2 linked regions of the Drosophila melanogaster genome follow. The protein of the gene in region 2 interacts with the protein of the main gene of each other region in a pairwise test. Each region holds a gene or a part of one and is shown on either strand. Other genes may lie near its edges.

Evidence for each region.
Region 1: the proteins of CG4860 (region 2) and Ndg interact in a two-hybrid assay, tested with the Drosophila melanogaster proteins (one large-scale study listed by BioGRID).

The regions. Positions count from the first base shown.
Region 1 is NT_033778.4:10,311,871-10,316,917, reverse strand, and holds the start of Ndg (nidogen), read right to left. Parts: upstream 3,028-5,047; 5' UTR 2,645-3,027; coding exon 2,414-2,644; intron 518-2,413; coding exon 38-517; intron 1-37. Other genes in the region: Obp46a (Odorant-binding protein 46a), read left to right, coding at 4,895-5,008. UniProt on the Drosophila melanogaster protein: Cell adhesion glycoprotein which is widely distributed in basement membranes. Involved in cell-extracellular matrix (ECM) interactions probably by connecting the laminin and collagen IV networks.
Region 2 is NT_033777.3:12,219,344-12,223,123, forward strand, and holds CG4860 (uncharacterized protein), read right to left. Parts: upstream 2,122-3,780; 5' UTR 2,108-2,121; coding exon 2,074-2,107; exon of another isoform or gene 2,013-2,073; coding exon 1,773-2,012; exon of another isoform or gene 1,696-1,772; intron 1,643-1,695; coding exon 669-1,642; 3' UTR 538-668; downstream 1-537. Other genes in the region: Cog1 (component of oligomeric golgi complex 1), read right to left, coding at 1-71, 128-261; Rsbp15 (radial spoke binding protein 15), read left to right, coding at 3,140-3,323, 3,391-3,780.

The sequences.
Region 1 (5,047 bases), on a different chromosome or scaffold from region 2:
TAGTGCTACCTAATTATAATATATATACTACACTTACATTCTCCGATCCGGAACCGTTCAAGGTGTAGAAGCGTCCATCTTCAGCCACGAAACCCGCCTGGGCACGAATGTCGGGGAGACCAAGTCCAGCTGTTTCGCCCTGCAACCAGTTAAGACCGCCATCCGGATAGATGAATTGCACAAACGTGCTCTGCTCGTTGGCAATCAGTGCCACCTGGAAGGTGTTCAGACGGTCCGTCTTGGAGTCAAAGTAGCCCACATTGCGCCACGTGGCCACGATCACCTGACGAGCCTCGAATTCAGACTGGCTGCTAAAGGCGTAACGCACCAAACTGGAGGCCCTGTCGAGAATACTTTGTTCCTTGGACTCGAACAGGGAGATCGAGGTGCCCTCATCACTGAACGAGGTGTCCACGTTCGAGTAGAAGGCCGCTATCGAAGCATATTCCAGCGGAAAGGGCTGGTTCAGGTACTCGGGAAACTCGGAGTTGAAGGTGAGGATGCCATTGGTGTTGATCTAGAGAATACATGAAAGAACTATAAGTAACACAAATAAGGAATATTCGGGAGTTACATTTAAAAGATCAATTGTCTTCGTCCAAAATGGTATTTATAAATGTTTCGAAGGCGATACTCAATTGGTGTACTCAAGGTGTTATTGAAAATGTTTTGCTTATTTCATTTGAAAGATATCAGGATCATTTTGTTAAGTGTATGGGAATAAGGAAGTTCCACTTGGGATCGTTTGAAGTGGAAATACTTGGCCTCCATATGGCGTGGCAATCAGTGCGCCCCGTGAAGTGCTAACGGGCCACTTAACTCCTAATGGCCATTCGCCTGGCGGAAACAAAACAACAACAAGCCATTAAGGAGGCGGCAAATGATCTGACGAAAGGATGTGGCCCGAGATGCATATTAAGTGATCTGCTGCAGTGCCTCCTAATTGAGTCCTCGGCCGACATCCGCCTAACGATCCGCCTAAAATTAGCTGCAACTCCATCGATGCAACAGGCAATCTGAATAAACAACCCGGAATGGGAGCACAGGTGTTTCCGAAATGCCTTTCTTGTGGTTGCCGACAGGCCGTTGCATAAATCATGTCACTCTGGTGGCTCCACGGATTCCGTTCATCGCGACGGGGAAACACGGATGTCTGGAAATTCCGGCAGCTTGCCTGGTGATTTGTATGGATGCCCAACTCCACATGGATATCCAACATGCCACAATGGGTGCTAAATTGAGGTTGGGTAAGCAAACATCAAATACTTCACTCCTGCTTAGCCTCTATTTCACACCTCAATTGTGCAAAGTATTCAAAATGTTTAAATTGTTGTTAAAATTGTTTCTATTTTGCTTAAAGTGGGTGTTGCATTTGCAAACAAAACGACAAGTCCAGATTAGGAAACAAATGATATCATGAAACATAAACACGACGAAACATAAAATAGATTATTATTCCCCTCAAATGTCATTTGTAATGAAATGCAAATTCATATCCTCGAATGATCTTTTCAATATTTTTTTATATCAACATTATTTTGAATTCTTTTCGCTTAAAGGAATCTAGGCTGGCATTGTTCTCACGATTTTGCCGACTGACTGACGGACTATTGACGAGTTTATTTATACCCTTTCGTAATGACTTCGACACCAATCCGACCCAAGCGCTTTGGAGCTGGCTGGCTACAAGCTACTGGCTCCTCCGATCATTTCAAGCATTCCGCCAAGGAATTTTCAACGAAATTTATGGATTTCTATGGCCATAAAGCTCGTTTTGGCCGTTCTGATTCTGTGCCGCGTGCTATTTCTCTACGTCAGACACATAAATTTAGTTAATTAACTAACAAAATGCAGAGCAGATAAAAAAGCGCGTTCAAAAATAGGCGACACTCGCAGTAGGCTCTCAATTCGGAGAACTCATAACTTTGGCTGCCAAGTGCCGAAACCACTCAGACACTCGGATGCCCGGAGCTCTGGCATCTGGCACTTGGCCAAGGCGGCAAAGCGACATCAATGGGTTTGGTTTTCGGTTTTTGGTCTTGGACCACCCTCAAGTGCCTGCGGATTGTAGCTGCGGATGTGTGGCACTTGAGGATTATTGGGACACGGTGCGAGTGGGGTGCGTGTGTGGAAATCGATGTGCGACCTGTCATGTTTTGCCGAAAATTAATGTCGCCTATAAATACGCGGGCACCACAACAAAGCAGGCTCCCCCAGAAATAGATGCATGGTAGTCTAGAAACTATTGAACCGCGTTGTGTTTGCATATAGATTGCCCCTTATCAACGCGTGCTTATCACCTCGTCACCCTGCACGCTGCAAAAATTCATTCAGTGCACAATATTTGAGATACTTTGTAGTCTCACATAATTCTGCATCTACTGAGGGGGGTATGCGTGCTAGGGGTACTCACATAGAGCTGCTCGTACTGCTCCCCGTAGAAGTGAATGGGCTGCTCCAGTTGCAGCACGATCGTTTCGCTGTCGCCCTTGGGCAAGAGGTGTATGCTGCCCAGGGAGCCATCCTCGAACTCGTACAATTCCGAGGCGCGCAGGCTGTCCAGATAGTGCTCGAACTGTCCGCTGACCAGGATCACCGAGCTGAGCAGCAGGCAGGCGAGCAACTTACTGCCGAAGGTCGGCATTGTGGCGGGATATGGATGGGTCCTTCCTGACTTGTGTATCTCTCTACTTCTTTGACTTTGACACGCGGGGATTTCACAATTTCGCCACTGGCATTTTCACACTAGACACAAAACCGAATTCCTAAGGCACTCAAGTTTGATCCAAAAATATAGGCGATTTATAAATAAATTGTGGCACTATCTATTCGTCGAGTATATATAGAGGTTTATGGCGTGTGTATAGTTTGACAGAATTTTGGAACTGTCGCTCCAAGTGGCGGCCCAGCTCCTCTGCTTTTGCTTCTGCTTTCTGCTTTACTTTTGGTTTCTGCTTCCTAAGCACGCGAGCAAGGAAACCCGAACGAACTGCACGGTTTGCCAACAGATTCTCGACTGATTGGCCGTCGTCTCCGCGGTGGATTCTCCTCGACTCGGTGCTCATCCGTCCGTTACCATCGAGTATCTGTGTGAGCTGCTGGCCGGAGTGCCGTTTAGTTTGTGCACGTGTGTGTGGGTGAGTGGCGGAAAGCGAGAGTTTCTCTGGAGGCCCCAGATACCATACCGAATAGGATCCACACACTGGCTGCACTCCAAACCAGATGCTGTTCGATTATGACAATTCTTTATTGATGTTTACCATCAACAGTCGTCGTTGGCATGGGCTCTCGCTTTGAAGGAGTACGTAATTATGGCCAAATAAAATAATCAGTTAACAACGGAATATTGTCAGTATGGGATTGCTCATTTATTTGGTGATATTCAGAATCAGCATTTTATCATTTTAATAGACTCCATCATATGTAAGAGTAAAGGTTTAAAATATAACGCCCATAGCATACCAACTATTGAACGACTTCATAGATGTTAGTCTTACTTTTGTTAACTTAGTCTTACCAAAGACCCTAGAATTCTAGTGTCTTTGGTCTTACCACGTATTTCGTGTTCTAAAAAGGTAGTGTTTAGTGAGATTTACAGATTCTCCGGACGATATATTATAAAACATATAACCATATGGTCACCGTGGATATAGAAATTAGTTCTCCCAAGGGAGACTTCTGGGCCGGGCTTCCGTAACACATTGGTGCTACTAGATAGTTTCGGGAGTCCCAATTCCAGGGAACTGAACTTGAAGCGGGCACGTGCCGCTTGATTGCTCTTGCCCCCCAAAATTCCCGCAGCGCATGCCACCGTGAAGCGGCGCGTGGAAAGGGCGAAGCGTATGGATACCTTCTCAACAGTCACACCGAGTCCACACGCATATCCACACCCAATCCTCAGAGGGTGATGCGCACTCCAAGACATTTGAGCAGTGGCGCCAAAACAGCTGAGTTAGAGTTTTTTCTTTAAAATGGTTTTAAACTCAGTGAAACCTGGCATATGAATTAAAATCGTGCATAGTTATTTGTTAATTTAGTTTTGGCTCAAGCAATTCGTCTTAATTTTAAATAATGTAAAAATGAAAAGGTAAGGAATAAATTGGTGCTAGCAACCTTTCTAAATAATATTAAGACTCATTTCATTTTTACATTACATTCATTCGGAATCAATATTAAAATGTTAACATTTAAATAAAAAGCTAGTTCTTAAGATCTAACATCACTAATCCAGAGCACTCCCATTCCTTGGCGGGGTGTGTGTGCGAGTCGAAAATAAACAAATGGTAAACTTCTGAGGCAGCGACGCAACGTCTGCTCCCTGACTGATGAGGATCGGGTGCGGGCGAGGAGGAGGTGGAGGAGTAGGAGCAGGAGGAGCTGGAACCCAAGATACAACTGGAACCAATGACGGGGGATGGGGGTCCGTCAGTTGGACTATTTATGATGTATTTCTCGGTTAATTAGTTGCAGCTGAATGCAGCGGAATGGGTGTGGGAATGGAATTGGGATCGGGAATGCTTCCGCATGCATTTGCTAGACATCATACCAGTCATCTTCGCCCGACCAGAAGACCAATGGAAAGTGCGTGGCCCAGGGCCCGGGTAATTTTTTGCTATATTTGGATATTGCGCCGCTTGATCGGTGATGGATGCCTGCGCCTTTTCATCTGCAGTGCGTTCCAGGAACTGGAGCGTAACGATGACGACGTCGACGGTCACGATGACGCTGCACCCGGCCAGACTGTTGGGCCATTTTCGGGTGGAATAATTAAAAACGTAAATTAAGCCCCAAATTAAAAGCCATCAAATGTTACGCAAAATTACACCCCTAAAGCGGGCGCTCAGTTATAAAAGCCACTGACTTCTAAATGGATTTACCCCTGGCATTGCGGAAAATGTGCTCCCAACTGTTCGCATTTCTGCTCCTCCTTTTGACCGCTTTTGTGACGGGTAGAAGTACTCCACCGGCGTTGGATGAAGACTGTGAACTGAATTCTGTAGATACAATGGTGAGTTGTAGACATGGATGGATTTAGAGCAGTATAGAA
Region 2 (3,780 bases):
TAAGTGTCCCGGCCGACGTTTGCATCGCAGCAATGGTGTCAGCCGCCTGCAAAAGATCTCGGTACCGCTCCCTTAAAGATTTAGAATGTTTAAGCAGCAAATCTTCTGAAGGTGCCACATCACTCACCCGACATGAGTGCGCAACTCCTCGCGCTTGTTCTCCACCACCGACTGGATCTTTTTGTGCACCTCGTCTATCTCGGACACGCTGTGCTGCTCAAACAGCGTGTCCACGTTCAGGTTTAACAAATTGGCCGTCATTTAGCCGTCAAATTAGTTTTATTTAAATTAAGAAAACAATAACAAGGGAGCAGCTGTAATAAAATCGAATTATGTATCGATGACTGGCAACATCGATATTTTCTCTCATGACTGTCTATGACTGTTAAATTTATGTTAGTTTACATTTCTCTGTTGGTAAAAATGTTAGATATGCTGTCATGTGCAAGCCGTTACATTTCAATATAACATAAAGAGTTATAGTTAGGGGAATTACCTCATTTAATCGAAAAAAGATATTTTTCTAAATCCAGGTTTCATTTGTTTAAATATACTTTATTAAATGCATTTGTCTGGCATAGATAAACTAATTTACATACACAACAAGTGTAAAAGCAAGAATTCTGATTGGTTTGGCAGCAGTAATAAAGAAAAACCAACAATGGCTTTCACTCCTTTCCCAATTCCCGCAGCACTGCGTTGGCGATCACAATTCTTTGGATCTCCGAGGTTCCCTCGTAAATCTCTGTGACGCGGGCGTTGCGGTAGTAAAGCTCCGCAGGCAGATCGGTGGTGTACCCCATCCCACCCAGGATCTGGATGCACTGGTGGGCACAAAAGGTGGCGGACTCGGAGGCATGCAGCTTGGCCATGGCCGCCTCCTTTGTGATTGGCAGCCCATTATCCTTCAGCCAAGCGGCACGCCACGTTAGCAGCCTTGAGATCTCCACCCGCGTGGCCATGTCGGCCAGCTTCTGCTGGATGAGCTGCAACCGTGCCAGATGCTTTCCGAAGGCCACCCTCTTCTGCGAATAATCCACGGCTAGTTCCAGGGCAGCTTGTGCGATACCGGTGGCCTGGGCGGCTATACCGATCCTGCCACAGTCCAAGGACTGCATGGCGATCTTGAAGCCATCACCGGCAGCTCCAAGGACCCGGGATCGCGGCACGTGAACGTCCTCCAGCACCAGCTGGCAAGTCGAAGTCGCGCGCATGCCCATTTTGCTTTCCTTCTTGGCTATGGAGAGTCCTGGAACATCCTTGGGCGTAAGAAAGGCAGTGATTCCCTTGTGTTTCATGCTCTTGTCCACCGTGGCAAAGACGATACCCCCGCTGGCCTCCTTGGAGTTTGATATCCACGCTTTAGTGCCGTTTATTTGGTAGCTGTCCCCTTGCAGCTTGGCCGTGGTGCTGGCAGCTCCTGCATCCGATCCGTTTCCAGGTTCCGATAGTGCATAGAAGGCGATGTGCTCACCCTGGGTGTACGGCACCAGGAAATCCTGCTTCTGCTGCTCGGTTCCATGCTGCTGCACTGCACCCAGGTACAGGTTATTCACGCCCATCACAATGGACACGGCGGCGTCACCACGAGCCACCTCCTCCATGCCAATCGCGTAGGCCTGGTAATCCAATCCGGAACCACCTGAAAAATCAATATTTAATGAATGGAATCTAGTAGTATGATCTATTTATATACCATTTCAAAAATGAAAACATCACATATTTTATGTTATGTAAATATTGTAAATATTATAATTGAAATAGGAACTCACCATACTCCTCTCGAACCGTCACTGACATGAGACCGAGTTCTCCCAACCGTCGGACCTGTTCCGCCGGATAAAGCTCCTCCCGGTCGTGGTGTCGCGCTTTGGGGGCCAGTTCCGCATTGGCGAACTCCCGGCAAGTCTTCTGGAGAATCTGGTGGGTCTCGGAGAGGGCGGCCAGGCATGCGATTCCCCGGTTTCCACCAGCGATTATCCTCGCACTCCATGCGCCGCTCGAGCGTTGACCTGCAAAGACGGAGGCGGCAAATCGATCATCCAGTCAGCCGGGAATCACCCAGTTCCTCACCCAACGTCCGCGCCACTCTGATCAGCTGCTGCATTCCGTCGCCAACTGATCCCAAGCCCGTGGTGCCGGTTGCGATCGAGGTAGTGAAAGCTTTTTCGCACTCGTCGACGAGCCGATCGAAATACAACCGAGGAAAACAGCTTTTATACGCAGCTTTTTGAGGCGAAGTTCATGGGAGGAGATTGAAAGGGGGTCCCGTTTATTAAAAACTACTAATCGATTTTGTAAAATGGTTCTTTTAAATTGATTTTAATTGAGTATAAGAATTACTAAAATCATTTTAGTTGTTTCAAATTTGTAATTTATAATCGGTTTTTAACAAATTTTAAAGTTTCATTTAAAAATGGTATTGATAAGCGCCGAAGTCACCACTGCGCCACTGTGTTCGTATAAAGTGTTTCAACTATATAGTACTACCTAAAATGATCGAAAGTATTTTGTTTTGGCGCTAACTTTGTGAAATTACCAAGTTTCTGGGTTAAAGATCATTTGAAAGAACAGAAAGGGAAAGCGGTTCAATGGATTTCGATAAAGAAGAATCCACCAAGAACCCTGTTGATTTCCTATACCGGCTGAATACGAAATTAGGCAATGCTAATTTCCGATACACACCCACTTTCATTGAAAGGTACAAGGTGCATTTTACCCACATGAAACACAAGTACACATTACAATTTTTCAACTTACATATTACAAAGTTAGTGGACTTTGGGAATTTTCAGGAACACGTGTGAGACAGTTTTTTGAAACATTTAAGCTCATGGATCAAATTGAGAATATATAACCCATTATTGTTTTTCACCATTTAAACATTTAAACCAGCTTTTTGCTAGCGCCATCTAGGTTAAGTAAACAGAACTGAGCACCTTACATCAGCAAGGTATTTCGCAGTCAGTCCGTGTAAAAATCATTGTAGAGCGCTGTAAATTATTATTTTCATTTGCTCTTAACGTAGTAGACCGGTTAAAAGGGATTTCAAAACTGAACCATTTCCGAATTATTATCTTCTTCTCAGCTAAACTGTTCAAAATTATAGAATTTTGCTTTATACTTTTGAAAAACGAAGATGAATTACTTGATCCAGCGTGGCAAGATGCGCCAGCAGGCGATTAATGTTCCAGAGGGTCTGCCGGAACTTCTATCAGATGTTACACGGGAGGTGCTAAGGTGTCAGCCGAAGAAAGAGTGCCTCTGCCAGTTCATCATCGACTATCTACATTCGGTGATCGTGACAAGGGAAAAGGCTATGGGTAAGTACTCCCACAGGATGTAGAAAGTATCAAACTTTTCTTTACGCACGCCTGTATTTTCTTACAGTGGCCAAGACCATTTTGGATCGCTCTCTGCGCCAGGTGGACAGCATAATATCGGACCTCTGTGTCTGTGATCTCTCCAAGGAGAAGTCCGAGTTGATGGGCCAGGTTCTAGAGGACTGTTTCCGTAACTTCCTCGAGAAACGACGCTGCGAGATGCGGCGTGGCAAGCAGGCGATTAAGTTCGAGGATGTGGACATCCTAGAGGAGCTGCTGCAGAAGTGCAAGTTTACCGACGAGGAGCTGGTCATGTCACGGCCGGCCATCGAGAGTGCCTACAAGCGCTTCGTGGACGCCTATATGTCCGCCGAACGTGGAGCCGATGGAACGGAGCTACTCTACCAGTACTTCCGGGACAGGGAACTGAAGCGTATCAACGAGGCCATGCGCAACC